Linked DNA regions of Drosophila melanogaster. Changing the gene in region 2 together with the main gene of any one other region gives a genetic interaction. Each region holds a gene or a part of one and is shown on either strand. Other genes may lie near its edges.

What was found.
Region 1: of bs (region 2) and tx, changing one enhances a phenotype caused by changing the other (phenotypic enhancement), as found in Drosophila melanogaster (one study listed by BioGRID).
Region 3: of bs (region 2) and px, changing one enhances a phenotype caused by changing the other (phenotypic enhancement), as found in Drosophila melanogaster (one study listed by BioGRID).
Region 4: of bs (region 2) and emc, changing one enhances a phenotype caused by changing the other (phenotypic enhancement), as found in Drosophila melanogaster (2 studies listed by BioGRID).

What each region holds. Positions count from the first base shown.
Region 1 is NT_033777.3:26,437,811-26,445,344, forward strand, and holds the start of tx (taxi), read left to right. Parts: upstream 1-2,967; 5' UTR 2,968-3,926; intron 3,927-7,534. UniProt on the Drosophila melanogaster protein: Probably plays an important role in the differentiation of epidermal cells into the tendon cells that form the attachment sites for all muscles.
Region 2 is NT_033778.4:24,339,022-24,346,927, reverse strand, and holds the start of bs (blistered), read right to left. Parts: upstream 4,068-7,906; 5' UTR 2,839-4,067; coding exon 2,254-2,838; intron 1-2,253. UniProt on the Drosophila melanogaster protein: Required for the formation of intervein tissue of the wing. Acts in a dosage-dependent manner to suppress wing vein formation and promote development of intervein cells. Might play a role in the proper formation and maintenance of the trachea.
Region 3 is NT_033778.4:22,557,031-22,565,018, forward strand, and holds the start of px (plexus), read right to left. Parts: upstream 5,036-7,988; 5' UTR 4,889-5,035; exon of another isoform or gene 4,869-4,888; intron 4,113-4,868; 5' UTR 3,716-4,112; intron 1-3,715. Other genes in the region: CG11362 (uncharacterized protein), read left to right, coding at 5,364-5,403, 5,464-5,759; dnr1 (defense repressor 1), read right to left, coding at 7,090-7,396, 7,464-7,988.
Region 4 is NT_037436.4:746,255-755,646, reverse strand, and holds emc (extra macrochaetae), read right to left. Parts: upstream 6,248-9,392; 5' UTR 5,984-6,247; coding exon 5,420-5,983; intron 3,376-5,419; coding exon 3,340-3,375; 3' UTR 2,155-3,339; downstream 1-2,154. UniProt on the Drosophila melanogaster protein: Participates in sensory organ patterning by antagonizing the neurogenic activity of the Achaete-scute complex (AS-C). It lacks a basic DNA-binding domain but is able to form heterodimers with other HLH proteins, thereby inhibiting DNA binding.

The DNA.
Region 1 (7,534 bases), on a different chromosome or scaffold from region 2:
AAGCACTTAAAGAGTTAATTTCATTTATTTTTATGTTAATCGCATTGCAATAATTGCCTATTGTCAATCCGTGAAAGTTAACAAAGTAACTTTACTATGCCATTCATAAGTCTACCAACTGATTCATATGCCCCGCACCCACGCGACCCTCACTTATGCAAATCAGCAGTATCACAGAGCTCACGAAAATTAATTATCACTAAAAATGAGACGAATAGAAAAAGGTAACGTAACCGAGCTGAGGAACAACAACTTAATCGCCTGGCATTTCCGCTCGTCCAATTCCACTCGAAATAGCCAGCTTCCACTTCCCAAAAGCCAACAAGAAATACAGGCAGAACGAAAAGATAACCTGTGCAGGTGGTTATGACCGTGAGGGAGCGTGGGCTGGCCAAGTCGAGTGTATTTCCGCTTGAAAGCGGCAATAACGATATTTGTAATAATAAATTTACGTAAAATATAAAACAAAATCAACGTTGACTCAAGACCCAGTCGCCGCCCACTCAGCGACACCAACGCTTTTTCGAGGCTGCAGACAAAGTTAACAGCCGACAAGGTAGCAACAGTACACACAAAACAGCCAGCTCAGAAGCTTGGCCCGAAGCCCCACGATGCTCACAATTAGCCGAGTCGAGAGAGTTTGTATACAAAAGTCTCTGCTTTCTCACTGCTTTCCCGTGCGATGGCCATAAATGGTCGCAGACACGTCTCACAGACTTCCTTAGCGGGATCGCCGGCCATCCAAGTGGGCCAAGAGGGAAGGGGCTAATAGCTGATGGCTTATAGCGTTTGGGGCCCCCCTTTGATCGAACTTATACTGGGCATCGCGCCTGGCTTTCTGACCATATTAAGGCAAATGCGATTTCCGAAGCTGGCAATTAAAAGCCAAAGCCAAAGCTGAAACTCAGAACATTTGCATAAGCAATTGAGCGACATGGCAGGTGGAGCAGGGGCATTATTCACGCTCAAATTAGATTAAAAGTAATGACAATTAACGCCATAAAATTCTAGTACTTAAGTAGCAATTAGTTAAACTTATATAAATTCAGTCTTTACAAGCATGCATTATGGCAATTATTAGTGTAAAAGTGCGAGAAATTATTTAAAACTGATTATTTTTTAAAATGTATATATTTTATTACCACGTTTTCAGCCCCTTTTGGCCATGCCCATATATTTTTGGACTTGGTCACAAAACAAACATTCAAAAGTGACGTTTGTTTTTTTAATTATGGCTCGCTTATTCATGTTCTTGTCTTTGGGAGTCGTCGTCGTTCGGCAGATTAAGCTGTCAGCAAAGAAACACAACATTTTGGCCACTTTGTATGTATTTTTAAATACGCTCAGTTAATCAAAAATATTCGTACATATATAATTTGATTTTCAGCTCCCTTCGCACGCAAATCAAATTAATGTTGCATGCGTTACTTTTCCACTCTCCTAAAATGTGTGACGACCTTGTGCCATGAAAAATGTATGCTTTCTGGGCATGAAAAAAAAAAGAATCATAATCAAATTTAACTGTTGTCATCATGATTTATTTACTCAAGAACAAAACACGACAAACGATGACGAACTCGCCTTCAGACAGAAGACAGAAGCACAAAGATAAATTAATCGCCAGTCAGTCACAGAGTCGATCGGTCTATTGCCCGAAGTCATTTATTCACAAATGCTCGTATATGAGTATATCGGGGCAAACTCGAGATTTAAGCCGGGTATGTCGTCATAGCTACAATAATGAGAAAACAACTTGTTTTGCCTGCAGGAGCAAATCCATTTTGCAATTATTTGCCTGTTTCAGTTAATTATAATTATTTGCGAAGCAACAAAATGCAAGCAAAAACAAACTATACAAACATGACTCTAAACAATATTCTTTGTTGAAAAATAAAAAAAAATCGGGTTCCAACAACTGAATTGTGACTTTGAAATCAGCTTAGCACTTTGAAATTAGACGCTATGTGAAAACAACTTGAGAAGTGCACACACCCAATACATCTGAACTGAAACTGATCGAAACGAATTAGAATAAATTATAAAATCCAAATATATGGACAGGAGTCAAAAGCGTCGGCTATCAGATACCCATCAAAAATATTTTAATTACAATTTAAATTGCTGAAAATTACTGAACACCACGTTTCGAAGAATTGTTATTATATATATTTATATTATCTTACAGGAAATACTTTAAATACTTGTCATGAATTAAAGTTAAAACAACAAAATTCCACCATCCATTCTTAAAACACTTAAATGACAAACAAATGAGGAGATTTCCTTGAACTTTACTTCGACGTGCCTCATAATTCGCCACGAAATCCAAGTTGATCCAAATAAATACCAAGAATGAGTATCATTTATGGTCTGGCAACCAAAGTTCAACCTTAAAAATGGAGATCCGACACAAGTCAAGCTTTGGTAGCTGATACCATCTCAATCAAAGGCGAATAAACATTTTTAACTATTTTCAAGTGAGCTCAAGCAATGTCTGACTTGTACAAATGAATGTCAAGCGCTGCTGCAGCAGCAAATAAAATTAGCAATAAATTTAAATAAATAACTGCCTGGCGATATTAGATCATACGAAATCTCAGGGGGCCGTCTACGCGTACTCGTGGTAGCACTCAAAACACTCGAAACGAAACCGAAAATCCATCCGAATCGGAAATCACTCAAGAGAGTGCGCCAAAGACCAACTGGGACCGTACTATGCGATACAGTACGATACGATACGATCCGATACGATACGATCCCATCCGATCCGGCCAACGCAAAAAGCACCCACACATCGGGTGGATGTGGATATTTGGGGAAAGAGAGAACTGGTTTCTCTTCAATGACTTTGTGCTGAGCTGTGCTGTGTTGTGTTGTGTTGTGCGCTGGGCTGTTTTGTGTTGGCGTTGGCGAGCGCCAGTGGGTTTCTCGGTTTATTGGTCGTCGCTGAGAAAACGAGACTGTGCTGCCTTTTAATGCGGCATTTCATTCATTGATCGTTCCAATAGCGCGCCGCACGCTCAGCGCAGCGGACAAGTGAGCCAAAAGTCCGACTTCCACTGCCATCGCCGCCCACCTGAGCCGCTAACCTGGCTAACGGAGTCAAAGCCAACTGGGGGCAGTAGTCAGCTGATTTAGCTGCCACCGCATCCCAAGCCAAACCAAGTCAGACCATCCCAGCGATCCGCGAGATATATCTATTCAGTGCACAGCCGACAAGCGCAGCAGGCGGACGCAGCGCAGCATTTTCTCCGTGTATTTTCGTATGCCATCTCGGGATATTGGATACAGATACAGATTCCGAGATACAGATACACAGAACGCGAGCGACGCGCACTCATAGATATTTTTAGCAACCGGCCTCACGCACACCGCCGCACACATTAGTACCGCCGCACTGACACACGCGGCTTGCACGTTTTCACGGAAAATCCATTCTTCGAGGCTTTTCCAGCAGGCCCAAGATAAACACAACTCAAGAATGCGCGAAAACCGTACCGAAGTTATTATCAATAGTTAAACCAGCGGCGCAATCACAACCGCAACAACCACAACCACCGCAATATTAATTCAAACCAAAACAAGTTCCAGAAGTTTTTGAGGAAATAAAAACTGAAAACAAACCTTTTTTGTTGTGTTAACATGCCAAATTTATGCATGAGCTAATAACTTTAAATCCGAAAAGAATAAAAAAAAGTCCAAACAAAACAAAATTCAAACAAAGATCGCATATCAAAATTAGTTGGGTGACTAATTAGACAGCGCGTTGTCGGAATTTCAATTTGCATACTTTGGCGCAACTTTAATGAACCAAAAATTAAAATAAAAACATCAACAAATCTTAATCAGAGTGCACAACTGAATTCAAATCATCCTGAAAGACCAATCCCGCAGCCATACATTGTTGGATTTATGAAATCAAAAAGGTAAATATACCGCCGCCATTTATCAGACATAAGCGTTCAGATATAGAAAAGATATAGAAGATCTGCCCGATCTCTTGTTGCCGCCCCAATAAAAATAGACAAAAGGCATTCCTCTGTCCAATCACGTTAGTGGCTGGCAGATGGGGCAGGGCGGGCTTTTAAGAAACTTCTGAAACATTTATTTGTCCAAGGTGTTGAAAAGCCAGATGTGTGCAGGGGAAAATGTTTTCGAGCTGCTCAGCAGGGAAAACGGCGACGACAGCCAGTTGTCAACTGATTTTCAAAGGTTACCGAAGGGAAGCAGCAACTTGGCTGCGTTTGTTTGCGACCAAAGTAGGGGGAACAGTTTAATTAATGTGCAAACAAAAGCTGTGAATTCTCATCATCAATGAGAGTCCCGCTTAACCTGCCACTCACTTTAAATCTGTGATGTGCTAATCAACGCCGGCATTTATTTATTTACTTTCATTTTCGCCATACCATTCGGCAACAAGCACTATGTTTGCCCAAATAATCGAGTAAAATTGGTTTCTGGCAGCCAGTCAATCGCCGATTTTAATTTGGCATTTATTTATTTAATATATTAATATATTATTCATTTTGTCGAAAGCTAAAATAAACTAGCATCTCATGGGCTGACTCAATACATGATTAAAAAATGTTATTCGTCATAAATATTTTATGATTTACAAAAAAAAAATTCGCCAAAAATACACGCATTAATCGAGTCAAATTTTAATGATTTTTCTGCCATGGAAAGGTGCATCTAAAATTAAATTAGTTTATGGACACATGAGTCTATTGCTACCCTATATATACTTGCCTACCTCATTGTTTGCTGTCCCCCTGACCCAAATCTCGATCGTATGTGGGAAAAGCCAGCGCCCCTCCTTGCAAAGAGACTTAAACAATAACAATAGCAGGAATAAATCAAGAAAAATAAAAGTTAGTCGTAGGCAAATGCCAGAGACCTGTCAAAAAATCAAGCAAATCAAAAGCCGATGGGTAATACAAAACCACACAGAAAGCTATCAAAATATAACTCATACGTATTCGTATTTATCCACACGGTGGTGGAAGGGAGACGGTGAATGTAAACACGGCCACATCACACATACGCAGTGTGTGCCAATTTTAATAAACAAACTCAACGTAAATGGAAAATCAAACAAAATCATTTGGCCAAAGCAATGGCAACAAATCAACAGAAGAAAAAACAAAACGAAATAAAAGGAAAGAAGCGTAAAAAAATCAAAAGACGGCAAAAAAAGAGATGGGTAAAATAACAAATAAGAACTTGCCGCAGGCCGGCTAAAAATAATAGCTGCCAACGGTAGCACACACGAGACTAGCATCAGGGGGACGTGCAACGTGCAACTGGCAACAGCCAACAGCACGAGACAACAGCAACCACACACACACACACACGCGCAACTAGCTAGGCGAGCAACAACAAAGGTTATAGACTATAGGTGACTATGTATATAGTATCGGCAACAAAGTCGAAGCCGAATGAAAGATTTTGACGCTTTCCACAAAAAGCAAATTAAGAATCACAAATCGAGGCAGATAAAAAATAGATAGAGCGCTACGAAAATAAGAAAACGAAAATAGTGAAGGAAGAAAATTCAAGTTGCATACAATGAAAACTAATTTTAGAGCTGTGGAAAAGACAACAACAACAAAACGAATCAAAAACACGGCAGGCACAGAGACAATCTGAATCAGTCGGAGATTCCATAGCGAATCGGTCCAGAGGGCAGCTCTTGAAGTTACGAAAGACAAAGCAACTTTGGATTTCATTCAAAAGCAATAATTAAAGTTGAAAGTTTAGTTCTTGATGATGATTTTACTACTTTAGTTACTTTTTCAATTGAAGGATTACTAATATTTATAAATCAAAGTTTAGATCCGTTTACCATGCTAACTTTATCTTGTCAAGAGAAAACATTGTTCAAACTAAGTCATCTACCCTCGTTATAGCAATGCCTCATGTGGTTCAGTTGCTTTTTTTTCCGTGCCCAAGCAGCAGACGCTTCATTTTCCATTTAACCGCACCCGACTGCCGAAATCCTTGAATTCAACAATTCCTCCTGCCCCGATTTTCCCCCCGGAAAACCCATGGGCGCGCAGACAAGCGTGCAGAAAAAGTTCTAAATTTAATGGCTACACCTAAAAATGCAGCGACTGCAACCGAACCAAAAGTGAAGGGCAGACTGCAGAGGGAGGAGGAGCCACTCGCCGGTAGTTTCAAGTGCACTTCGGCTAGGCCTGGCTAACTTCCCCGTCCCCATTCCCATTCCATCTGATTTTCCCCAAAAAAAAAAAAGTATTTTATATATCTGTGGAACGGGCCGACCCACCCACACGCCCCTGCCCCGCCCCTCGACCCCTTCACGCCTCGTCGCACGCACGGCTCGCCTTTTGTCTACCAAACTGTTGGTAAAAGAGAATGGGATCAGGAAAAGGGGTGCACTGAAACAAAATTCTTCAACTGCAAATAATTGTAAGGAAAAAAACTTTAAGAATTTTTTGTTGTCAAAAAGCTCAACATTTTATTTGAATATGAGATCTTATAAATATATCATATAACAAAAACACAACTTAGTTTGATAAGCTGAAATGTTATAAGCAGTAATCAAACATAACAGCTTTATTGTATTTGATTGAACGTATTTCTTTCACATTCCTCCGATTTTTCTCAGTGTCAAAATGAAATGTTGGGCTTTTGTGTAAGAGGAACTGTTCTATGTTTGTTGTCTGTGCATTTCAATTGGGCGCTTTCTGCATTGTGCCGGCGTGTAATTGAAAACTTAAGCAGAGGCACCACCCCGCCCTCCTTCCCCCCCCCCCACCGCTCACTTTGTCCACGAAAAGCGCGCAACAAATTTTCCAATCAACAGAGAACGAAACAGGCCCTATGCACTATAAACTGCGCCCCGCTAACTTCCTGCTCCACTTCCTTGCAGCATATCCTGTATCCCTCCGGTTGCGACTCCGAAAATCAGGAGGCCGCTTGTTGCTGTTTGTTCAACAAACGTTTATTAGCCGCGAATACTTTTAATCGCATGCAATTTGTTGATTGCGGACAGTCGTTGCACTTTCCACGCTTTTCCACCCACCCAGCGAAAAGGCCCACTTTAAGCACACGGAACTAGGTAATTTTCACGTCGTTTTGGACCGGAGGGCGGGAAAATGGGAAAATTGGGCGGAGGGGAGCGAGGGGAGTGAGCAGGTGAACAACGTTTGCCGCCCCTCTTTGAAGACGGTGCACAAATTTTTCTGTGTTGCGCGCTTAATTGCAGCTTGTTTGTTGCATGTCGCAAACTTTTCACGATGCCCTTACAACTCAAGTGGGTTCCACTGACTTGGGGGCGGGTCTTTTAAAGAATGACATTCGTTTCGTACCATGCTTTAAAAATAATGTATTAACGAAATTTATATGTATATAGATATGTAGAGTAGAGGATAGATACTAAGCATATTCTAAAAGCATTTAAAACTTTTTGAAAGGGCATGCAATCCATGCGGATCTTTTCCAACTTAAAAACTTCTTTCTGCTGGGTCTTTAAGCATTTCTTAGGATTGCGTGGTAAAAATTAATTATA
Region 2 (7,906 bases):
GGAGAGTCATTTGTTAGAAGCCGATTGTTGCCTGTTTTCCCCGTATGTGGCAGAGGCCACAGCCTGTTGCATGTGGCCAAAAGGCGAGCCGACGTGGAGCCTCTTGGCCCGGCTTTCTGGGTCTTATCTGGGCACAATCTGCCGACGAGGCTGCGGCCTAAGCTTCCGTGCTGCAAGCTGGCCCCGAAACAAACAATTCCCAAGCCCAATCCCCAATCCCCAATCCCAATCCCAGGCCTCGTGATTTCAATTTAACACCTTTTGGCGGCATTTTGCGCCCGGCTGCCCTTTTAGCCATGGCCAATTGTTGGGAACTTGTCGATGGCTTCTTGTTCGATGGCCGTGCATTATGCAGAAGCCAGAAGCGAAAGCTGCGAATCCATCGATGATGCGGCCCACGCAATTAGGCTGGCCAGCAAATGAGATCACTTCTGGACATTAGCTCACTTTTCACTCTCGTCGCCTTTTTTGGCCTTTTGACCACCGCCACCCACGCCAAAAGAGCCCCGGCTCTCGGCCAGATCGAAATGACCAAAATTGGCCAGTGGAAAGCATGCCAGCAGGTTGGCGCGACAACTCTCTGGGCCAAGTTCATTGGCCGCAATTTGTTGGTTGGCTGCTAGGGATTCGAATTGGGATTGGGATGGCGGATTGCAGATTGCCTCTGCGCTTTTTGCTGCTACCGCTGGTAGCGCCAAGTCAAAATCCCATTGTCTGCCTGTCAACTGTCCGCCGGCTGGACATCGATGAGGGACCGCATCAAAGTCACCAAAACGATATTTTTTTGGAACGCATATTATGGAAGCGGCCTTTTGTCCCGGGCGTGCGCCTGTCATAAGCTCGGCCCCGAGAATCCACGTCCCAGGGGTCAAATGTTTTGGATACCCTCACCGATAAGGAAACACCATTTCGGGATCAACTGAGATTGGGTAAAGAGGAACAGTTTAACAGGTTTGGGTTGCTCACTTCCTCTAATTCAAGAATCATAAGTTACTTTGCGACTTAATAATGAAAGTAAATAAACTTCAGTAAATAAATTAAACTTATTAAACATTTAGTTTATACTTGACATTTTATTGCCATTCTAGCGTACAACAAGCTAAACGTTTTCCCAAATCTCCCCTTTTAAATTTAAGTGCTCCAACGTCTTTGTTTTTGGTCTGCTTGGGTCAAATATTTCATAAGATTTTGTGTCTTGGGCAAAGATCGTGCTGAGATCGTGATTTAGCGCCGCGATGTTGATGCTTTTTGTCTGATTTTGATCGGGGCTTGGTTCAGCTAGTGGCCAGGGAAGTCTATTTCAGAAATGTGAAAAATTTCATATACGGCCCCCAGATCGATGGAAAGCAGCAGGAGCTAATGCAGTGGCATTATGTAAGTTTGCGTGTGAAAATTGGTCATTTGAAAATGCCAAGGCAACGTTGCCAGTTGCAGCGACTTGTGGGCCACCATCCACAAGGAGCACGCATCAATTGTTTCGGGGGAGGAGTGCTCCGTGGGCAGGAGCCTCCTTTGAATGCAATTGCGGCGGCAAATTAACATTTTATGAAGCCGAAAACAAAGGCAACGCGGAATCGTGGGCTACCGCGCTTACACAACGCCGCCAAAGCGGCCAACAGTTGGCCAAACAGACGCGATCTGGCCAAAAGCAGAGGATCTGCGGCTACTGTTCTAGAGATGAGCAGAGGTACTTCGCGGGCACAGTGGTTCGGGTTTTTGAGTCTTAAATCAAATTGTTTAGCATTAGGTTTGGGATCCCAACATAAGGTGGCCTATAAGCAATTTCCAAGCAGAATTTGTATTGGTCCAATAAACATACTTCCAAGTGGAACTAATAATTGGTAATGGACACAAGAGAAAGATTTGAATATTTGAACTGACGAGTAATGTACACAAATGGTCTAACTGTTGGATATATCCATTGGGTACTTGATATTCCGAGATGGTTCTCCTATTGTGCGCCAGCTATCCCGACCACTGTGCCGATGGCCAATTGACAATAAATCCTCGCTCTTTCCGGAGGCAGAACAATGCCAGAGATGTGGGGGAACTGCTGGATTCCGTCGCAACTGAATCCCTGAAGCATTTATTAATTGCACATGCGCTGGAAACGTGGCCCGATGTCAACATCCCAATTGCAGCGCCAATCGTGGCTGGAATGGGGATTGGGATGGGGATCGATTTCGGTTTCGGGGTTGGGTTGAAAATATCGTTGGGGATGGGGATGGCGTAGGGGTGCTCCAGCGATCTTACCTTCTTCATTATGCCCGTCTTGCGCTTGGAGAAGGTCGTGTAGCGACGCAGCTTATTGTCGATGTATTCCATTTTGATTTTGACACGTCCCTTTGTCTTTTTGCCGTTGGCAGGCGGAGACTTCTTGTTGGGCAGCGGGTTGTAGTTGTCTACGCTGTCGTCGACGGCTCCGCTGGCCACGTTGTCCAGTCCTTGGAGGGTGAGTCCGCCGGACGAGCGGTGGTGATCCTCGTAGCAGTCGCTGCCGGAGCGCTTAAGGCCGCGTTGCTGCTGGGGATGCTGCTGCTGCTGTTGTTGCTGCTGCTGGTGTTGCTGCTGCTGCTGTTGTTGCTGCTGCTGCTGCTGGGAGGCGTGCTGTGGGCTGTGGAGCGTTTGGCACTGCGGGGCAGGGGGTGCTCCTGCCGCGGGATTGGGGCGCTGCATCGGCGGAACGCCGCCCATGTTCTGGAGCAGGCCACCGGAGGGCGGGCGGCCCGCCCCCAGGGCCGGGTTGCCGTACATGTCCGCCGGATCCGCCAGGCTCAGCCCTATGCTACTCATCGAGTAGTTGAGATTGTACCGCGAGTCACCTCGCGTCGGATCCATTCTGAGGTAAAAGTTCTCCACCGTGGAGCCGTAGAGATCCAAGGCACCGCGCGCGTCTATTATTGCGTTTGGGTTTCGGGTGCTGGGAATCTGAATATCTAGAATCCGGCCGCGGCACACTTTTCAGATCAGATCGCTTTATATTCCAAAAATAAAACCACACAGAAAACACTCAACGCGCGCGTTTCGCTGGCGTTTTCGGCCTTTTTGGCGGCGGCGGGCGCGTTTCTGGGGCGGTTTTTGTGCCCGTCTGCCTGGGGGCCAAGTTCTCAGTCGAGGAAAACGCTATAACTTATTAAAAACCCGGGTTTTTTTTGGCCAAGAACGCGAATTTAAGTTTCTTAAGTGCACGCACACACTTACGCGCGCACACACACAGGAAAACTGACAGCTGACAGTCCTGCAGTGTTGGAATGCGGCTGAAGTCCAGGGATGCAGCGCTCGTGTGTTGCGCAGTGTGGTCGTTTGGCGCGGAATTTGAATTTTGGTTTGTGTTTAATATTTAGGTTCTGGACCGCTTTTATGGCTTGTTTCCAATGGCTTTAAGTTTCTTTATGGCTTTTAATTTCATTTAATTGTATGTTATTTTTTGGTTGCAGTTCTTTTAGTATATTTTATTTAACTGGTGTTAAGAGTTTTTATCTTTGTTTGCCTTCTAAAACTTGTGATTTAATATTTAATGTTTACTATATGTGTTGTTTGTTGAACTGGTTTTAGATGATTTACCAAATCCTTTCTCGCGTTTTATAATTGTTGTGGTTTATTGGGATGTTTGCTATTTTCTAAAAGTTTTCGAAGGTTTATCATTGAAGACGTTCCTTCTCATCGCTGGCTGATGGTGCTTTATTCCTTTGATTATGGCCTCTATAAGTTGTTATCTCCTTAAGTCTTCCGCTTGCTGTCTGCTTGTCTCGAACTGATTGCATTAATATCCGTTTTTTGTAAAAATTGTTTAAGTGTTTCTGGTAAAAAAAATACGCCTAACTTTGTTTCGACTTCGTAGATTTAGTGCAGTTATGGGAAATATTTGTGTTTTTGTTTGTTCCGTATGCGTTGCAGTTGGTTTGCTTATTTGTCGCTAGGCACTTGTTTGGACTGTTTACTTTATTTGTGGCGATTTTATTGTGGTTCATTCCAAATACGAATTCGAAACGATTCGACGGGCTAAACTTGCGATCGATAGCTGGCGTTCGTTGTTCTTCAGATGGCGTGCAAATACCTAATAAACTTCAGCGTATTTCCACCAACGATGTTCGCTCGATATTCCAAACTTGGGCGAACCGGTTTCCTCTTTTCCTAAGAGCGCCGCGCTCTCTTCGATTTCGAACGCGAAGAGTACGGAGTACATAAAAACAAACCCCAATCCCCCATTCCCCGACCCAATCCCCACCCCCGTTCGGCGTCTTCCTGCTGCCGTCGTTCATTTTGCTGGCTTTATGGCTTAATTAATTAGATGGCCACGCCCCCATATGCATACCCATTCGCTGCGCATGCGCACACATAGATCGTGGATTTGGGATTCATATGGCTGGGTGGCTCATTGGCTCCTCCCCTTGAAAACTCGTGGTTGAGTTCGGTAATTACATACGTGGCGTTTCGCCTTATCAGCGCTGTTAATTTAGTTAATTTGTGATCTTCTGATTTTGTGATTTTCTGATTTTCTTATTGCTGATTTTGTAATTTCTTTTGCGACATTTCGCAGGCTGAGCTTTGCGGGCATCTTGAGTGCCCGGGCGCAGCAACAAAAAGCGATACACTTAAACTATGCCAGGAATTTCTTAGCCCCGCCAATATGGTCAGAATGCTCTAGAGGATTTGCGTGGTGGGCCCACTTGTACACAGGAGCACGAGTATTTCGCCATGTCCTTAAATAGAGGTTCGCGGAATGGGCAAAGGGGCGGAGTGGGCATGGCCACGTGCAGCGACTAGCAGATAGCAGCAGATATGTATATAGTAAGCGCAGATAAATCGATACACTCACTGCGCCCCGATCCGCGATCGAAGATGATGCATTCCCCAGCTGCAAATGGTCATCGTTGCCTTTTCCAGCCATCGGTGTCGTTGTCGCCAGCTTGTCTCTTCCGCGAATAAGCCAGTCCAGGTCCCGTGTCCAGCTCCACGACTCCGACTCCGAGGTCGACTCCGATCAAGCACCAGGACCAGGACCACAGCCAACTGCAGCTCCGCTCCTCTCGCATTTAATTAGATGGAATATAGGAGCTCGATGGTTTGTCTACCTGCCCGGGCTGCCTAATGATTTAAATTAATCATAATGACTGTCAAAATAGAACGTTTGCCGCTGCCAGCGGATCATATAAGGATCGATCCACGCAGCGGGCACCAGGTCTTCTGGACACTACGGGAAAACGGATGCCACTTGGGTCACTTGAATCTGAATGATGCCTTCCACTTGTATTCCCATTTCCCCAAGACTGCGAAAAGAAAGAACAATAAATAAAGATGAAGTTTGATGATCCCCACGCATTCCTAATAATTCCGTATTTTATATGGATTAGGTTTACAGATGGGTCATATGACATATGCATCTCTAGCTCTGTGACACTTTTTTATTGTGTAATTTGGTTTTAGTTGTTTGCTAAGTATTTCTCCGAGTGCATTTCGATGCAGCTTCTGGTCCTGCTGACATTTCATCATACTCACACGGCCTGCTGGCTGTTGGCTTCTTGGCTTGTTGACTTGTTGGCCTGCAAGCCTGGTCTGAGGTTCTCACAATTGTAGACGCGTTCTGTGCAGCGCTTACTAATTGGTTAGTTGGCTGCAGGCTGGGCTCTTCAGCGTCTGCAGCCATCCAGGCCCTCTTTCTCCGCCGTTTTCTCCTCCACCGGCAGTAGGAGTCCGCTGGCTCCAGTGCGGCTGTCTTTCTAGGCAATCGTCAGCCTGTCTGGAGGAGAACTCTTGGCTTCTCTTGGAGGCTTCTGGCCAGCTGGGAACAACTGCAACATGCTGTAGTTTTTGCCATCGCACTTTCCGCGGAATTCTCCCCAGCTGAACATTTCTAATACTTAATTATTTGCTTGCCGTTTTACGTGCATTTATTTGAGAGGGGACGAGGGGAATTAGGGGGCTGCTCCTGATGCTGCTGCTCAGAGTCCGCATTATGTAATCCTGCAGAGTTCACCTTCAAAACGGTGGACAGATCATCTAGGCATACGGATGGCATAGGTATATTCCCAAATATATTTATAACTCGAGAGGAGCGTTTGTTCCATTTACGATTCCGAACAACTTTTGATTTTGCAGCTAGCCATAGCCATAGCCACATATGTGTATATTTATATATATAGACTTTTTTACTATTTATAGCGCTACTTGGGCATTTGCCTTAAGCCAAAGCCAAAGTGTTTTAAATAGTCGAAATATGTAAATTTCCTTTTTTTTTGTCTTTTTCAGTATGGTCATGCGGGAAAGTATCTGCGAAATATTGTGTTAGGATTTCAAGTAAAGCACGAGATTCGGATGGCAAGTCATTGGTACGACTGGTGATAGTAGAATTGGATGCAATTAAGATAGCAAAAAAAAAACGAAAACAGTACAAGCGACTCCCCAGGTATTATTCAAAATAGAATATCTATTATCTGCGCAGCAAGCTGGTTGATTTACACACTCAAACCACCGAGCACACACACTCCTTATACAGATGGGCCCGAGATCGGCCAATCGGAATATATCTGATTGAATGCAAGAACGTGGCACATGAGCACATGACTGCGGTGTATGATCGCCGGAAAGCGAGTGGCCAAGAAACTCAGGTGTCTAATTGGGCGCTGGGGTGACAATGAACCACTTAACCAAGCCAGGTCCAACTGCAACTCCTGCTCCTGCTCCAGCGCACTAAGCCAAAAGCCTGAGATTGACAAAGCCGGCAGAGAAAACCGCCAACGCCAGCTCAAAAGTCGAACCAATTGGCAATTGGTACAGGCGATCGCAATGTTTTTGCCTCATGAATAACGCATAAGGAGCAGGGAGTAGGGATTGGATTGGGTTGAGAATCGGGATCGGGATCGGAATCGAAATCAGGATCGAGCTCTGCGAGACTTCGGGGCAATTGTCTGGTCGCTTGTGTTACAATTTAAATAAAATTGCGGCTCCCTGGGCGAAAACAAAAGGAAAAGCTGGGGGTTTTGGCCTTACGATTTCGCTTCTCAGTTCTCTGTTCTCAGTTCTCAGTTCTGGGCATTGGTTTTCTTTTGGGCCGAAGTGCAAGTACCGTTTGTGCACAGGAAACAAAAGCACCGCTACAATCATAAAACGATTAACAGGTCGTGACCGTTTCACCTGATTACCGGTAGTCCGGCTCATTTGCATGCAGGTGGTGCCGCGTCTTTTCACGGTGACAAGTGCAGGAAGTTCGGAACCGCCTGCCCTTCCCTTAACTTCCCCTCCTCCCGAGCACGCGGTTCTAACTTCCTCGCCTTCCGCGCATTTTAATTCACCCAATATTAATTATGAAAATCAGAAGGCAGGCGCAGATGGGTCGGTGCGTGCCTCGCATGGAAGTGGGCTCCTCGAGGCACTTTTGGCCAAGTCGAGCCCAAAGCCCAGAACTCAGAGTCCAGAGGCCAAAGGCACTGGAGCTCGGGGCCTCTACAAATTAGAACAGAATTATCCCACGCATCTCGGATAATGTACGCGAAATACTTGATCGATTGCCAGCGATCTATGGTCGCTTGTACTCGGTCTCCAACTGACAACAACGGCGGACAAGGAGACGGGAGACGGGAGATGGAGGTGGAGGCGGAGGATCGACGCAGACGGTCCACTGGCTGAGGCCATCAGAACGGAAAGCAGCGGACTGCAGACTGCAGACTGCAAACTGCCAACTGCCAACGGTGGAGCACAGCAGCTTGGGATCTGCGGATCGTCGATGGCACAACAAATTTCAGCGCGTAGAACGGTAACTTATTTTTTCCTCCCTGCTAGCTAGGGGGTATGTGGGGTAGTTTGGACTGGAGCACCACACTACAATATGAAACATCAATTATTACTAAAAGTTAGAGGAAATCGCCTTTACCAAAATATCTAGCAAGTGATTCAAGTGACTCGTCCA
Region 3 (7,988 bases), 1.8 Mb from region 2:
TCGCTCTGCGATCATGATCTCTGAGCCCAGTGGGCATCAATGTGGGAAGTGTATATTTTTGCTTCGATGGAAGCAGAAAGAGGAGAAGGAGAAGGAGGAGGAGGAGGGTAAGGATGTGTGATTTGCATGTTAAAGTGATGCGACGATTTGTCGGACGTTGCTTCTTGTTTCTGACTTGCCGTGATTTTATTTGATTCGATTTACTCCGCCGCTCGCATTTGTTTTCATTAATGTGTATGTAAATTTCAGACATGTGACGCAAGTCGGCCACTCGAAAGATCAGCGGAGTATATATGTACATATGTACATAGAGGCCTGATAACGAGCGGAATGGAAAGAAGGAAAAATCGGCGGGGGGGAGGAAAGCCGCGCGATTTACGAACTTTTTTGCACTTCGGAGTTCCAGATATATCCGGTCGGACGCCTGGCTAAATATATCGGCTATTTGCTTATGGCACGGACCAGATTCGAATGGTGCTAATTCGCTTTATCAAGTACATACTATACTATACCGTAGTATACTATAGTATAGATTCGCTAAACAATTTTGTGCTGCCCTCGTTTAGCGATTCCCATCATGATGGCAGATGGCAACAACAGTTAAGCAGAGTGTGCTATTTTGCAACTGGATTGTTTTTTAATCCAAATTATGTAATCATAATGTTTACCCCACTAATTAAATGTTTTATTATTTATTTACAAATAAATAATTTGCCAGCAGTAATTTCGAGTGGCCATAATAAAGTTGCATAATGTAAACAACAAAGGCATGCAAAACGGAAGTTTTTCTACTCGTATTGCAATTATTTTTAATTTATTTATGCGCATTATATTGATTTTTTTTTTACTCGGTTGCAAATGCAGCAGGGCCATGCAATTGTTTTTGTGGGAAAATGCAGTTTGGAGCGCTCATATTTTGTATTTTACCCTCATTTTTCCTGGTGCCAGCTTTTAAGAGTTGTTAGCCGAGTTTTTGTTTGTTTTCCAGTGTGTTGGGCACACAGTTGTGGCTAAAACAATTGTAGTATTTGGCTTACTATGTTAACTTTAGCTGAATAAGTTGAACATTATATATTATATTATCTAAGCACATTATACGTTTTCTTATAGATGTTATGAGAATAAATATTATTATTATAATTATTGGGAAGCCTGTCCTATTGAACTGACCTCAAGTGTGTTTTCCCGAGTTTTCCCAGTGCCTGCACTTGAACATTGTTGCTTTTGTTGCCGCCCACCTGCGCCTGTTTTTCCTCCCCGTGCAGTTGTTTTTAAAAGTTTTTTGTTTTTCCCCCCAGCTGCCTGAAGGAACATTTTTATGGCCCCCATGTCCTTGCTTTTGTTTTTTTTTTTTTTTTTGAGGGCGTGGCAGCAGCCCGAGAACAAGTGAAATAGAAAACGCAGCGAACCAGTTTTTAAAGTTTTCCCCCAAATGCGGAAAATGCCCAGCTTTAACCATTGAACTCCCGCTTATCATCGATGTTCTTGCCAGTATTTTTTTGTATTTTTTTTCGCCTTTTCTATTCCATAGTTATAGTTATAGCTGTGGCGGAAGTTGCATACAATAACAATAACAAAACGAGTGCAGGAACATTGGAAAAGTTTTCGAAGGAGGGTGGGTGGTGGTGGTGTTGGTTGGGGCAAGAAAAAGTTGCGTTGTTCGGAAAAGTTTTTAGCGTAGTTTGAAATTCTTTTCGTTCGCTCTCCTCTCGATTATATGTCGAGTTCTTTTCTGCGAGTTTCTGCTGTAGAGTTGAGAGCTGGCAAAAGTGAGTTAAGGTGCTTAAGTTTTGCCGTCTTTATTGTTCGTCGCTTTTTTTTATCTATCCTAGTATTTCTGTGCCAGTTTTTCAGCCAAGGAAAAGCGAGCGCCGCGGGAAGTAAACTGCATTAAAGGGGCCAAAAATGGGGAACAAAATTAGTAATAAATCCAGCAGTGAAATATGAAATCGCAGCGAGCCAAGAAGCACGCTGTGCATATTGCAACGGATGCACATAATTCACATTTCCGCAACTTTTGGCTGGCCTTTGACGCAATTGGAGTTACCAGGGAAATTGAATTTTTTAAATTTGCATCGGGCAAACAAACAAGATGGAAAGCGGAAACAGCGCTAACAAAAGCAAGAACATAAATCCTGCCCGAGATGCAAAAACAAAAACACGGCAAAATGACAGAGAAAATGGAATTTATTAAATAGCATTCCGCGCAATAAACTCTTGCAGCAAAAAAAAAAAAAAAAACGAGCACAGCAACAAAAATCCACACACACACACACACACACACACACACACACACACGATCGCATAATCAAATAAAACAACTTGGACATGCAATTTTATGGCAGGACGTCGTTTTCCTTTTGGGCACCCTTCTCCTCGATTCCATTTCAGTGGCCCCCAGTTCAACGTAAACAGACGCAAAAACAATGGGGAACGAGTATAAAATGGTATATGTACGAATCGGAATTAAGAATACCCTATCGGATACGCACAGTATCAATCATCTATGGATGTGCGATGAATCGAAATATACAAGGAATAAGGAACATCTTATGGAGATCAAAAAACCGAATGGTTTTAAAATGCTTAAAAGCATGCAACATTTGGAGTTTGAAATCAAATAAGTTCATATATGTTTTATGTTTTTATTTAGAGTATTTCACCATTTTAACGAAGTTATAAGCCCTATTGCTAGGGTATTCAAAAATGGGATTAAGCCGAGAGGAGAATCGCAAAAAGACCGCTCAACATTTTTTCCATTAAGGGCGCCCAAAAAATAAAAAAATAAAAAAAACCGGACAGCTAAGAGGGGCTCAGGGATTTGCGGAGCTGGCCATCAGCGCATTCAGGTTTTTGGGACCTGCTGGACACAAATTAAACCAAGTGAAGCCAAATAAAAAGGTTAAATTAATAACCGTAGTCGCTCTTTAAAGTTCAAGCCAAATGCTATCTGTATGTATGTGTGTGTGTGTGTGTGTGTGTGAGTGCCTGTGCGAAATGCATATTTGAATATTGCATAAATCATCGCTTTTATTTCGATTTTTGTTTTATTCGCCATGCGGTTTGCTTTTGTTTTCTGCAAAAGCGCCTCATTAAATTACCATTTTAATGATTATTTAATTCCATCAGTTGGACAAATATAATAATTGAATATATATTTTATATATTATCTTTGCAGCCCAATAAGTTGTCAATGATAATATCTTAGGATTCTGCAATTACGTTCGATGGCAAACTTCAGCATTTGTATTTAAAATCTCATAAATTATTAAAGACTTTTAAATTTTATCTACATATGATGTAAGGTAGATTCTATTGAGATTTTCCGTATCAAAACCTAATATTTTGAGTAGCATTTTGTAAATGCCGTAAAAAACGTCTTACTTTCGTCATGCCTTCACTTAAAAAGCGTCAATATCAGTATCATTCAGATTTGCTGTACAGCACTTGAAATTCCTCGATTGCTAGGAATTGTGCAATCTTTTATTGCATTTTTTTAGAAATAGTTAGGTCGCGGCGGATATTTGTGATGGAAACCACACGAAACCAAACTGTCTGGTCTGAATTGATTTAAATTAATTGAATTTTAAAGCGAACCGGTAATCGGCAACCGGTTTCAACCGATTCAAGGCGAACCGTCCAATTGAGCAAACGGTATTTGAATGTTTTAACTGATTGATGTCAGTCGATATGGCCTGATTGTTCCGATACTGACCTGTGCTCCGGGTGCTTCGGCCTATTCCAGTTGACTCCGATTAATCCAACTCATGTGCCTGTTTTTGTGGCGGAATTATTGGGCGGAAGAGGGGATTTACGGGAATTAAAGCCGATTTGGGCGGATCGAAGGGACTTAACTTCGGGGCAAACACATTTGGTTTCAGGCACTTGTCTAGACTTTCCTCGGCGTTTCTCGGTGTTTCTTTCGGTTATCACACTCTTTATTCTAAATTTCTTCACTTGCTTTTGAAGCTATTAAGAGCACTAGTGGATTTTCAAATTTTGAATTGAGCATTCACGGTATTCTTCATGGTTTTCTTATAAGTTTCACTTTACCCATGTTAAGCTGGTAAAAATAGGGTTTCGATTTTATGTTTCAGTTGTGGCTGAACAATCTAGAAAGAATTTCAAAATTTTCGGTCACTATTACAGGTTTAAAATAAGAAAATGAATTTCGCGCAAGTTAGATTTTATTTTATTCTTATGTGTTTCAAACTTATAGTTGTGTTTATAAACTTTATCACATCGCTTTTAACAATTTCAAATTTTAATGGGCTAAATTTGATGCTTATCACTCTTAATTTCTGCCAGTGCATTTTGATCGCATTGTAAACATTTTTACAGAAACAAGAACAACAAATTGCGTTTCATTGCCACAGTGGTGGTCTCTGCGCCGTCGTCGGCAGCGACGTCGACGTCGGCTGCGAAAGGCGACACCATTTCACCGGCGACTATTAGCAGCAAGTGCGAGAGAAACGGACGATGGCGATCGCACAATTCCACACAACACACACACACACACATACGCATAGGCTGCAACTGTTGCAGCAGCCAAAACAACAACAAGACGGCTAAAAAGCGAGTGTTTTTTTTCGATTTTTTCGCGCTGCGACCTTGGAACCGTTAGCTTTTCAAGCTGAACTCTTGGACTGTTAAGTTGGCTGCCTTTTTAACACCTTAATAGCGCTTATCCAATTGTTTGCCTTTTGCTTTTGTTGCTTGTTGCTGCCGTCGCTGCTCTGCCGCTGTCGCTGCTGCTGCACTGCCTCTGCCGGCGTCAGCTGCTCGCCTGCGTGTGTGTGCGTGTGTCCGTGTGAGTTTCCGTTTGTTTTGTGTTGGGCCTTTTATTTTGTCGTGTTTTTTGTGCCCACCGTGCAATTGCAATATTTACGGATTATTCGCGGACCGTTGAGCGATATATGTGCGGTTTTTTGCGCGGAGTTGGATCGGCGGAGACGACGGAACAGCGATATATAATTGCAGCAGTTGCAAGAAGAAGAGCCAACCAGCAGTGGCTGCCAGTGTGTGCACACTGCGCAGCAGAATTGCCACCTGGCCGGCGGTGTTGCCACATCGCTGGATTTCGTGCTGCGATTGTCTGGAGTGTAAGAAGAAGAGCAGTGGATCAGCTGTTGCTCACAAGCGGCTCAAATTGAGTTATGTGCTAACGCGTTCGTGGAAGATTTGGGCGCGCAATTCAAAAATGTAACATAACGGGATTTAAAGATTTCAATTTAAATAAACTTTGAATCTATAATAATCTATTGTTCGAATTAAGCGTCGAAGTAAAGTTTTCAAATAGTATACTTTGCGTCACAACTCAACCCAAAATCAGAACATTGTAACAGAAATAATTAGGTCTGAAAATGAACTCAATAGTGATTTTTATTCTGCACTTTTTCTTGGGTAAGCAATTAACATATGTATAAAATAAATTCTACTAATGAATTTTCCCTGCCGGCTTAGGAATCACACTCGGAACAGCTATTCCCAACGAAATAAGTGTGAAAATGGCAGTGCCAAATAATTCTGTTACTATGAAAACCGAAGAGTTCCTGCTGCAAAACGAAAATATTCCCTTTGGTCTTCAGAGTATTCCGCATTACTTAAAACATCTCATTACAAATGTGGACAGGGATATCCCGGGAAAGAGAAAACCGAAGATTACTCAGTACTTCAAGCTGAGTCCAGAAATGGATAATTTGCAGATGATGCGGTTTCTTATCGAGACCTTTGGCAGATTCATTGGACTCATTACATAGGCGTAGTATGTTCTTTTTTGATATATTTTCCAGCTGTGAGAAGAATTCCAACGCGCTCATAAATAAGAAAATGAAAGGAGAAGACGATGAGGTTTTGATGATTTCAAATGAGAGGAACTTGATGAGATTTTTTGGTCAAGAGCATTTATTTCGAATTCAGTTTTGCAACGAGGCCAAAGGAGAAAAGAAATGAAGTATTAAAACTGATAAATGATAGAAGAATTCGTTAAGGAAGAACAAAGAAATATGCCACAGAAAGCTTTCAACTAAAGACGGCAAGAAACGAAGATTTGCTTTCCAAATAATAAACAACAGATAACAAGGTACATTTAAGGTTTTTTCATTGGTTTCTTTTATATGTATATATATATATATATATATTTATATATATATATAGATCTATGTATATATAGTATAACATTGTTAACATTTACTATTGACTATGTAATATCCGCTGCAGAGATACTTTTCGTGTTTCGTGTTCTGTTTCAGTTTCGGTTTATGTTTTTCTGTTTGATTTGCAGGTACTTAGTACTACTTTGCTCCTTGGGTTTGCGATTATTGTACGCTTGTCCTATATATACACACGCTATAACATATAGTTTTTTAATAGGTATCCATGGTTAGATATATGAGAATTTGGGGGGCTTCTTATATAGGTTCCTTTGGGTAGGGTGGAATACTAAAGAGTTTAGGCGTTAATAAATACATCTCGAGTTTTAGTTGGTAAAATTGCTAACATTTAGTAAGTAACTATGTTGTACATTCAAGGGCTACATCGTATAAGGTATCGCTGATCTATAACGATCGTAAATATATCTATGTGTATACAGTATACAGTGTGTATATGAATATGAAACAATCTGCAGTTATAGATTCTAGGCATAGGCTATGCAGTGAAGTCTTAGACGAGTTTAAATAGCACTTTCTCGAAGTTCGTACATCTATAAATAGTAAATATATGTATATATATATATATATTAGGTATATATATATATCGTGTATATGGCTACTCTGTAGATTAGAGTTACAGCTAGAGTTAGAGTTAAAGTTTCAGTTGCTTATGTCGCTAGAATACTTGAGTAAAGATAGAGCTAAGATTGTTTGAAAGACTGACTACGCCGCTTCGAATCGATTTCAAACCCACGTTGCACGTGACATGTTGCACGTTGCACGTGGCATGTTGCACGCTGCCAGTTGCTTGCTTGCCTCGTCGGTTTGTTCCCCTTTTAGGTTGTGGTCATAGAGCACTAGTGAATCATGTTGGTTCTCAGACAATCGGCACGCACACCCATTCCATCAGCCGGAACAGCAGCGAGCACAACCAATTCTAGGCGGCCGTCGTAACCTTCGGCTGTCCGCCAGGTCCGGTTGCTCCTGCTCCTGCTCCTGCTCCCACTGCCATGCCGCCAACTCCCACTCCTGCATCTGCGCCCGCCTCGAGGGATGCGGGTGCCGCCGAGATCTCGTCCAGCTGCTGTTGGAGCAGCTGCTCCTCCACCTGGCCGTCGCCCATGATGCTGCTGCTGCTGGTGGTTGTGGCGCCGCTGCCGGTTTGGCTGGTGCGCAGCTCCGGCGGCAGATAGATTTTGACCACGCTGGTGATCTTCACCCGACAGTTGGGACAGTTGCTGCATCTGCAAGACAGGATTAAGGAAGTTAGTAAGGATTCAATGGGAGCACAAGGCTGCAGAGACAACTCACCGTGCAGCGCACTGGGCGCAGGCGATGACGTGACAGCACGGATTGAACACTGTGTTGATGGCGCGGTCCATGCAGATCTTGCACTGCATGGCCTCCGAGATGCGCGTGTCCACGCAACGCTCAATCGCCGCCTCACGCGCCTCCTTCTCGCGTATGGCCAAATCTATCTTGCCGGCCATGGAGCCGCCGGCACCAGTCGTCAGGGCCATGGCCCATGGGCTGACGCCCGGCTCGCCGACGGCAGAGGCGCCCAATCCTCCAGCGACAGCAGAGCATCCCTCGGCTCCCTCCGCCACCAGATCGCCGCCCCGCTCGTGGAGAGTCCTCCTCGCCTGGTCGTGCACCTCGCGACACGTGTGCTGAATGTCGAAGACATAGCGCTTGCCCAGCTCCGTATTCTCCATGAACATGGAGGCGATGGTGCCCTTGAGATCCCGGGTAAACTGATTGGTCACCACTCCGCGCACCTTGTCGCACACGTAGAAGGCGTGGCGCTCCGTGATGGAGCGGTACAGGCCCGCGGCG
Region 4 (9,392 bases), on a different chromosome or scaffold from region 2:
AGTTTCCATCTTTGTATACGAGATCATTAACAGAAACTCCACAAATTTGTCAATATTTACTGAACGTGCCTGGGAATTCGAAAATCTTAATGGGCATTTCAGGCACCTGAAAGCAATTGGGATTGCACAGTCAGCACTCGTTTACCTTTCAAAAATTATAATGCAAAAAAAAACAAAAAATACTCATATTTAGTATTCGAAATTTATAGAAACTAAAGTTATTGAAAACATATGTCGGCCTTGAATCCCCAAAAATCATGGCATTATGGCGGTGAGTTATCTAAGGTTAAGTTGCATAATCCTGCCCGTAATCCCCCTGGGATCGCAAGGGGTTAAGCCGGGAGTTCGAGCATATAGCTTCGCTTAACACTCGGGAGCCCGGCTGGTTCGGGCTCAGCTGTCAGCTGCGTGGTTGGAAATGTCAGCTTGACAATTATTATGTCAAAATTTTCCGGCACGGCCATTGGAAGGCTGAGCCGAGGCGACGGCATTCGCAATCGCGCAGTTGCCGCAGCTGTTGACTGCTACACGAGTTTTTATGGTAATTCAAGTTTCACTGATTTCTCGTCTCAGCGCAGTCGCACCCAAAAAAAAAAAAAAATCATTACATGGGAGAAAACCCGACTAAGGTGAGCGCACTAATTGTACCTGGCCAATGGCTCAGAGCCCAAAGCTCTGCAAACAATTAGCGCATACCAGAGTTTGACTCGGAATCGGAGATCATTGGCCCCGCAGAACGGGCGATGTCGACTAAAACGCACCGATGCACATGGAGAAATTGGGTATTCACTCATAGGAGTAGGATTCAAATCCTAAATAATCGCACAACACTTTTATTACTTTGTAAAAGATTTTCAATATTTCATGGGTTGAATACAACGAAATGTTATACTGATTTTTAAAATATTTATTTTCTCAAGCTTCACTCGACATCTTTTAGTGAACAATGAATGTCCCCCGTAGACAATGCATGTGAACCCCAGAGTGTTTTGTTTCTTTTCCTATTAGTTTCCAAATGCCTGCAACTTAACTTTAAACGGCTGGGCATACCCTAACAAGAAGATAGTAATGCGGTTTTCTGTCGATGGAATGGGTATTTTTTACGATTATTGTATTAATTGCTCAATTAACAGGAGGCAATGTAATAAATTGTACTTTAGTGCAGATCTGTCAACAGTGTTATTTAAAATATGCAACAACTTTAAAGAAAATATGTTTTCAAAAAGGTGTTGGGTTAAGTTTAGCACAAGGAAATCGATCGACTACTTTTACCGCATGATTAAACTAGTTAATATGGTTGCTAAGATGTAAATAGGTCGTTTTTTCAAGAAAGTGCCTTAACCTAAAGATTTAATGATACATTTTAGGGCCTTCCATAGAGCATCCCAGATTTATGGGCTCCGCGGAAAAGCTTTTCGTAGCTGTTCAAAGTGTTTCCCCAGCGGTCCACTGGGGTCCGATCCGAATTGACATTTGAATGGGGCGACTGGCACCGAGTGCTCCGAGTGCCGAGCTCCAAGCTCCAAGCCCCGATCTCGAAGCCAACCCGAGACTACAGTCGCAATTGCCAATTGGTCAGTGCATTGTAGTTGCAATCATTAACGCTAATAGGCCGCCAGATAGCGGGAAAGAGAGGGAGACAGTGGGCGGTGGGCCGTGGGAGTGTGAGTGTGAGTGGAAGTGGGTGGGCAGGCAGCTGCGGGTAGCGCAGAAAATCCAAAACTAAATCCACACCCAAGTGGTTCGTACGTGAAATAAAAGGAAAAGCGGCCAGGCCACAGTGAAGGAAATTTTCTCAACGGAAATTTTCCGTCCGCAATTCGCACACGTGTGCAGGTCGAGTTTTCAACGGACCCTACGGCCGTTTTACCTGGGAAATGGAAAATGGGAAAACCAAACCCCTAATGACAAAGGCGGCGGCTGCGTGAGAAAACTCGCTCGCCCATGAAACTCCGAGAATAATATCATCCACCTCATTGTTCTGGTAATTCGTTGCACTTGTTTACATGTGAAAATGGCCATCCAGCTGAGTTTTCCTCCCCCGGCTACTTGTTGTCGTTGTCTGCAGGTAGTTACCGACTTTTGCGGTAAGATCTGGTAGTTTCTTAATCCCCTGCTCCCAACGGAAATCCATTGACATATTCGATTTTTAATGTTTTTTAAATTTTTGCAATTTATTAAGAGCTAGTGTTTGTTTTTCTTTATGTTTTAGATAATATATTTTTTCGCAACATCATCAAATGTTTTCTTTTGTTTTTTTTTTTTACATCATGATAGAGTGTTTTTACCATCGAAATGAGAACAAAAATGTGTAATTTCGATTGCGGATCATAATTAAAATCGCATAATTATGCTAAAAAAAACACTTTGTACAAAGTATGCTACAGATCACAGAACATATATTAATATATATTTATAGGTTTTAGTGTATATCTGGTAATAATTATTATGCATTATGCGTTATTTCGATTAAAAAAGAGGAAAACGATCCAAGGGACTCGGAAAACTACAAAATGAGGTGTTTGTGTTTTTCTATGTGAGTGGTGTGAGTGAAAATTAGTGCCTGGAAATGAACTTTCTCGAACTTAAACTCTAAACGTACTCTCTCGATATAAATTAATGAATTTGAATGTGTGTGTGCTGCTGAGTTGGTTGTTCTTGTTGTTTATTGGCTGTGGCTAATCAATAATAGGAAAACTCTTCATTGATTAAAATTAATAGGAAAATCATTTGGATTGAAATCATATAATCGTAATGCAGGAAACGGTGATTCAACGTAATTCCAGTTTGGTGCCTGTGCATTTTTATAATTTTTTTTTATTGCTGATCTCTGTTTGCTTTGCATTAGTAACATTTTTTCTTGCGTTGTTTAAACCAAAACAAAACTAAAATTAGGAAAACAAAAATATATGCTTCAGTGTAATTTCAAGCGTTAAAGGAAAATTAAATTGTTTAAAGCTTTGCCAAGTTTTCTTTCTTCCGTTCATTCTTAAGCGCCATCATCCTAGTTGTAATGTTTAATTAATAATCATAATGTGTACTTGCTTACGCTGCTCTAATGCTAGGTTTTGTGTTGTTGTATTCTTGTTATTAAATGTTTAAACTAAACTCTGTTGGAGCCAAAAGCGAGGTCTCGTTTTCCCGGGTTTTCCGTTTCCCGGGAAAAGGAGCGTTGAAGAGATGCGCCTGGGCTGTGGTTTTCTTGAGAGTTTCACACGTTATCTTATGCGGAGATCTTCACACGAAGGTTGCGAGTGGAGTTTTGACTGTACTTTCATTATGCATTTAGTTAATAGGCTTATAGGTTCCGTGGGTTTTCCCGGCTGGGCGTTTCCACGCTTACGACTGTCTGCTGTCTTTCTCCGCATTCTGTGGCTAAAAAGAGAGAAGCGGGAAGATTCAAATTAGTACATTATTAATGTGCGATTGAAATGCAATAATTAGTTTATAAGCTGTATTATTTCGCCATTCTATGTTATCAATTAGTTCCCTGTTCCACTGATTTGTTTGTTTTGTTTGTGTTTGGGACACTCGCCGAGAGGCTGATTTCGATGAGTGGAGGGGATGGGGCAATAAAGAGGCGCCAAGAAAATCAAACGCGCTGTCATTGAGCTTTTGTTTTGCACTTATTTGAGTTCTTTGGCACTGGGAAAAATGTTTTGCACTAAGAACATGTGCATTAGAAGATACAACATGTTTTAAAATAACATCTCAGGTAGCTTGCTTGCACAAGTATACCCAGTTGAAAATCAGCAAAACGTTGAAATCACGCAGTTTTTCCCCCAGTGTCTTGCGCTCTCTTCTCCTCCGTCTTCTGCTCTCTTACTGCGAGGGGGCGGTTGTGGAGGGGGGGGGGCAGGATCCGTGGGGGGAACACAATGTAGAAAGCGACCGACTGGCGACTGGCGCACAGCTGCGCGAAAAAAAAATCGAAAAAGAAACAGCAAAAACAACTGAAAACAACCCACAGAGAGAACATTTTGAACACGTGCATTTCTTTTTACAGTTTTCTGAGTGCCCCCATGTGTTCTTCTGTGTGTGTGTGTGTGCGTGTTTTCGAAAGAATTCTCGGATTGTTGTTGGCTTGTTGTTGTTGTTGCGGCGGTGACACATCATACAAACACAAAAAGTATATATGTTTGTGGGTTGCAGATGTTTTGCAACAAAAACACAAAAATTACGCACCCAAAATGAGAGAAAAGAGACCTACGCAAAGCGGACTGAGCTAAAGACCCACAGTTAATTAATCAAAAATTTAAGAAGTAACTCATAGCCAGGAATGACGAAGGCACGATTTCAAAACCATCTTTCTGAATTTCGAAGAAGGGTTTCCACCTTCACAATTAATCAACAATCAGAGATCGAAAATTAATAACACTTGCCGGGCCACCCAGTCGATCATTTGTTTGAGAAACCCATTGAAAAAAAAGCTTTTTCGAACCTGTTTTTACGAACATATTGTAGATCTCAAACGAATTTTTTCGCCAGCATCATTAATAACCGAAAGTCCAAAAACGAAGAAGTAACGAAGCTGAGAGCTAATGAAGTGAGCCAAAAAATAAACCCAAATGAAATAAAATACGAAGACTGATGATTCCCCAATTCCAAATTCCGTTTTCAAGCTCGCAAGTGCGTGTGAGTGAGTGAGTATGTGTGTGTGCGAGTGTGTGTGAAATAAATTTAAGTATCTGCAGGTGTTCATTTAAAACATCACAACAACAGAAAAAGGCCGCGAGAAAAAATTAACAGCTACGTATAGGCAACACACAAAAGAAAGAAACGATGGCGACAACAACCGCAACGCATACAATCGCACAGAGACGGTCTGTGAAATGTCTATAAAAACGAAATGAATCTGTGCGGCGAAGAAGAGGGTACGACAAAATCGGGCAGGCCGCGTTGTCTAAAGCCACCCGCCCAATAAAGAAATTTCCCAAAACTCGCCAACGAAACGAAACGCGCCTCGTCCTTCCGTTAAAAAAAAATAAAACAAAATGAAAAAAAACAACATTCACGCAAACATTCGTCAATCGCCTTATGAATGAGGTCACTCGCGAAACAAAAACAAGTAAAGCCAAACAGTTTGACACTCAATTGTCTCCTAAATTTGCAATGCAAATGCCAAACAGCTGCGGTCAAAATAATGGCACTCAAGGAAATAGCGAAAATCGGTGGATCGCAAACTTTGCGATATTCGCACTTCCTTATCGTAACTTTAGCAATTAATCGCTTTATTGTCTAGTTGAAACCAGTGAAGTCATGTACTTTAAATGTTTAACTATGTTATTTTCTCAAAAATAACTACTTTAAATATTCCATAACCTTATTATTTCTCCTAATATTTCGACCTGAGCTGTGCTCATCTGCCCACTTCCTATTTGGGTTTTTCACTACCCTAGCAATTTGTTTGTTAACTCACCGTTGCTAAACTGTTGGACAGTTGCTGCTGTGATTGCAGTTGTTGCTGCTGCAGTTGCAGTTGCTGCTGCTGCTGATGCTGCTGCGGATGGGCGGGCGCCACAAGAGTGTTGGGCGTTTGGCGATCGGTAAGCGGGAGACGGGCGGCGGGACTAGAGACTTTCGCCGGCTGCTCGGCATTCAGGCGCTGGGCGAGGATATCTGGATCGACTTCCGCTTCTGCCTCGGCATCCGCATCCTCCATGTCGCTGTCCTCGTCCTCGTGGAGTCCGTTCACCGCCGTCAGAGCGGCTGCCGCATCGAAGTTGCCCATCTCGGGGTGCGTCTCCAGCTCGGTCTGCAGGTCGCAGATGTAGTCGATGACGTGCTGGATGATCTCCAGCTTGGTGAGCTTCCTGTTCTTGGGCATGAACGGAACGAGGTCCTTCAGTTTGGACAGATACATCTTCATCTCGGCGTTCTCCCCGTCGCCGCGGTGCGTGGGATGGCGCTGGATGCGCCCGCTGGCATTCAAGGCCGGCATTCCGGAGGCACCTGTCTGGCAGACGGCCGTCAGGGACTTCATTCTGGAGATGATTGCTTTACGCTCCTTGAGTAGAATCTTGGCGGTTGTTACACGGTCGTACCGGATTACTTGCGAGGTTCAGTTAAAGATTGCTCTTGACTGGCTTTTCAATTTGATTTGATTTCGGCTTTGTGCGCTCACTTCACTTTGTTTTCTCACTCTGTCGATGTTCGAAACGAAACACTTTAATCCAGCGTGTTTTCTGCGTTTACGTTCTCGATTTCTATATCTTTTGCTGCGAGCGGTCAGACAACGAATGAGTGGTGCTCGCTCAGAGCGCCCGCTTTTATACCCCCCGAACGGGCATTTCCGAATCCGATAGGCGGAGTCTTCGCTCTCGGGTTCGTTCGGCTGGAGAGAGATATGTACTTGGTTGGAGAGTGGAGACTGGGGAATGTGTCTCATTGGTGTCCATGTGGAACTTGGACCACAACTTGAAACCGGAATTTAGGAGAGTTCCTAAGAGGTGAGTTGCGGAGAGGTCTGCTTTGGTGGACAAGAATGTGGAATTAAGGGGTAGCCCTTCGTGTTTGGTCTTCACAGTCATCATTTCAAATCCACAATGAGAATGGAGTACGAATTTAAGCCTGAGATCTTAAGAGGGGAAGATGTGTAGTGTGAAGCCCATGAATTCTGAGAAAACTAATTTAAAATAATTCAAAATACAACTGAGGTATATATGCTATGAATTAATCCTTTCGGATACTTTCAGTTCTTGACAAAATATCCAACAAGTTCTACAGCCTGTGTGCCCGAACATCCACCTCATTGACTTCTACCCGAGATACCAAATGAAACTCAACCTTACCACAATATCCAATCCACAAGATACAATCCAAATTCCACACATAGTAGACACTTTTTAAAGCACTAACATTTCCCCTGACTCCACCACGGTCCACAGATACTCACCTTTGTAGACCCGGCTTAACGAGTTCCTCTCCGAAACTCTCCAAACAAATCTGAATACTCTCCACGAGATGCAAAATGATCGGTTTTTTGTAAAGGGGAAATGGTTTTGTGATTGGTCGGCTGCTTTTCTCAGCTGAAAATGAGAAAACACGAACAGTAACTCTCGCTCAATAATTTTCCTCTCACGACTGCAATGTTTGTTTTTCTTTTTTTTTTCTCATGTTTTGTGAATGAGCATGAAAATGAATGAAAAGTGTTTTGTGGGATAAGGAGGTTCCACAATCAACACGAAAAGGCGAAAAAGACAATGCGAGTGGTTCAACAAGGGCTTGATTAATTACAGAATGAATATTAAATATATGCATGGGTAAATTAGATTTTAATCGCTGTGGAATGGTGAAAATTTTAAATCATTTGAAAATAAGAAGAGTAAATATTCATAATATATTATATTGGGCTAGTTAGTAGTAGTTTTCATTAACAATAACTATTCAAATAAACTGATAGCTCGAACAATCCTGTTAAGTTTTCGTATATAGACAAACGATTAAACGGTAGTCGTTCAATTTGTCATATTTATTCCTAACAAAGATAAGCGTTATGCGCCTCCGTTCAATGGAAAACTAGTCGTTATCAGTGGATTGACCAAATTCTTATTAACGAGTTTTCAAACGGCTAAATCGAAATGCACGGCTTATCTGCATCTTATCTTAATTTGAGTCCACGACATCTTGAACACACATAAGAGTTCGAGGCGCCTCGACTTCTCTCCCACTCCATTGCACCGAAGAAGTTGCAGGGTTTCTGGGCAAGAAATCCACGATTGTATTTCACACACATGATGGGTCGACGACGATCCATTGAGGAAATTGTGGAAATTTTCATTGAAAATGAGCGGGCGCGTCGTTGTTTGTGAAAAACGACACGTCTCTCTCTGGTTATCGTCTGCGTTAGAAATGGTTTTGAATTGGTTCGCTATGGCTGAATGGGAGACATGACTGGGCTCGAAAAGCTTGTGTTTATTGCTCTTCGGCTTTCGTGCCTTTAATTACTACGGTCTATTTGCAAGTTTCCGTGGAAACGCAGTTCAGGAATGTCCCGAGATCATACATACATATGTTCCTGGAAATCGGGGAACAAGGTGTTGCATGAAATACAGCAGAAATCCATGTTCCATGTCGAAAAACTAGACTCGAAATAACTAAAAAATGCTGGCAAAAACCAGCGACACAGTTCAAATTTCCCAGGGGAACGGAAGGCTAAAAAATACCGATCATAATTTTATGACTGCTGCAACAACGACGTCTCGAGATGATTTCACGTCTTCTTCGCCAGATTTCAGGAGACTGGAACTGAAACGGAGCTTACTTTACGACTCGCGAGTGTTTCGCCTGAATGACAAATCAGCAGCGCCGCCGAAGAACCAACAACAGGTTAAAAGCAGCAGAAACCTGGAAAAAAATGTAGAAAATCTATAAATACGCAATTTAAATACCCTACATCTGATGGTAAATTGTAGTTCGTTTGCATTGCAGTTGGTTTACCTATATCTAAGATGCACTTCCTGAGAATCTTCGATTTAATTCAATATATACCACAAGTATAAACTTAATATTCAAAGTGTATTTAAATCTGAAGGCAAGAGGGCCGCTATTTGCAAGCCATAGAAACTTGTGGAGGATGCGATGAAGATGAGGATCACATGTCAATCAGCGGGCGGGCACTTGCGGTGCCTTTTTTTTTTTGTATTTCATATATATATAATATATTGGGATAGGAAATCGGGGATAAGGGGATAAGGGGATCCCGACGTATCCCAGAGATGGCGTTGCAGATATGCAGCCGCATGCCGCGCCGCGTGCATTGCATGTTGAAATCCAATACCCGTCACTCAGTCCCGCTCCTCGAGCCCCAATCTCCAATGCGATCCCATCCGATCCGATCCGATCCCCATTGAAATCCCAGTCCCAGCCGAACTGATTCCATTCCAATCTCAGCTGGGCTGAGGACATCTAGTTGCCATTAAAGGGGTGCTCTGCCCTGTCACTCTCCAGTGACATCCCATTAATGACTTCGCCTTGGAATTCGGAACCGATTTCGTTTCGCTGCACCGATAAAAATTTCTACACTTCCCGTGGCAATTGCGAAATATAATGGTATCTTGTGGTGCCCATGTGATAAGTGCTGTAATACAAAATGTTATAACTACTATAAAGTTCATTCACAAATTTAAGGCTCTCCACTTCACCATTTCGGTTAAAACTAAATCTTGAGCAGAAACTTGGGTAAACATCCACTTCTTTCAGTGTCGTTTATTTATAAACATATTTTGCATATGGCCAGCGATGATGATTGGCAATTGGTGATCCAAGATCAGAGATCCCACTTGCAGTCGAGGCTTCTTGGCTTGGACTTTTTTTGCTTTAGCCGCATCCGGCCTGTGTCCATGTTTTTTTTCAGGTTTGTTTAACTTGTTGTTGTCCGTATGGTAACTGAA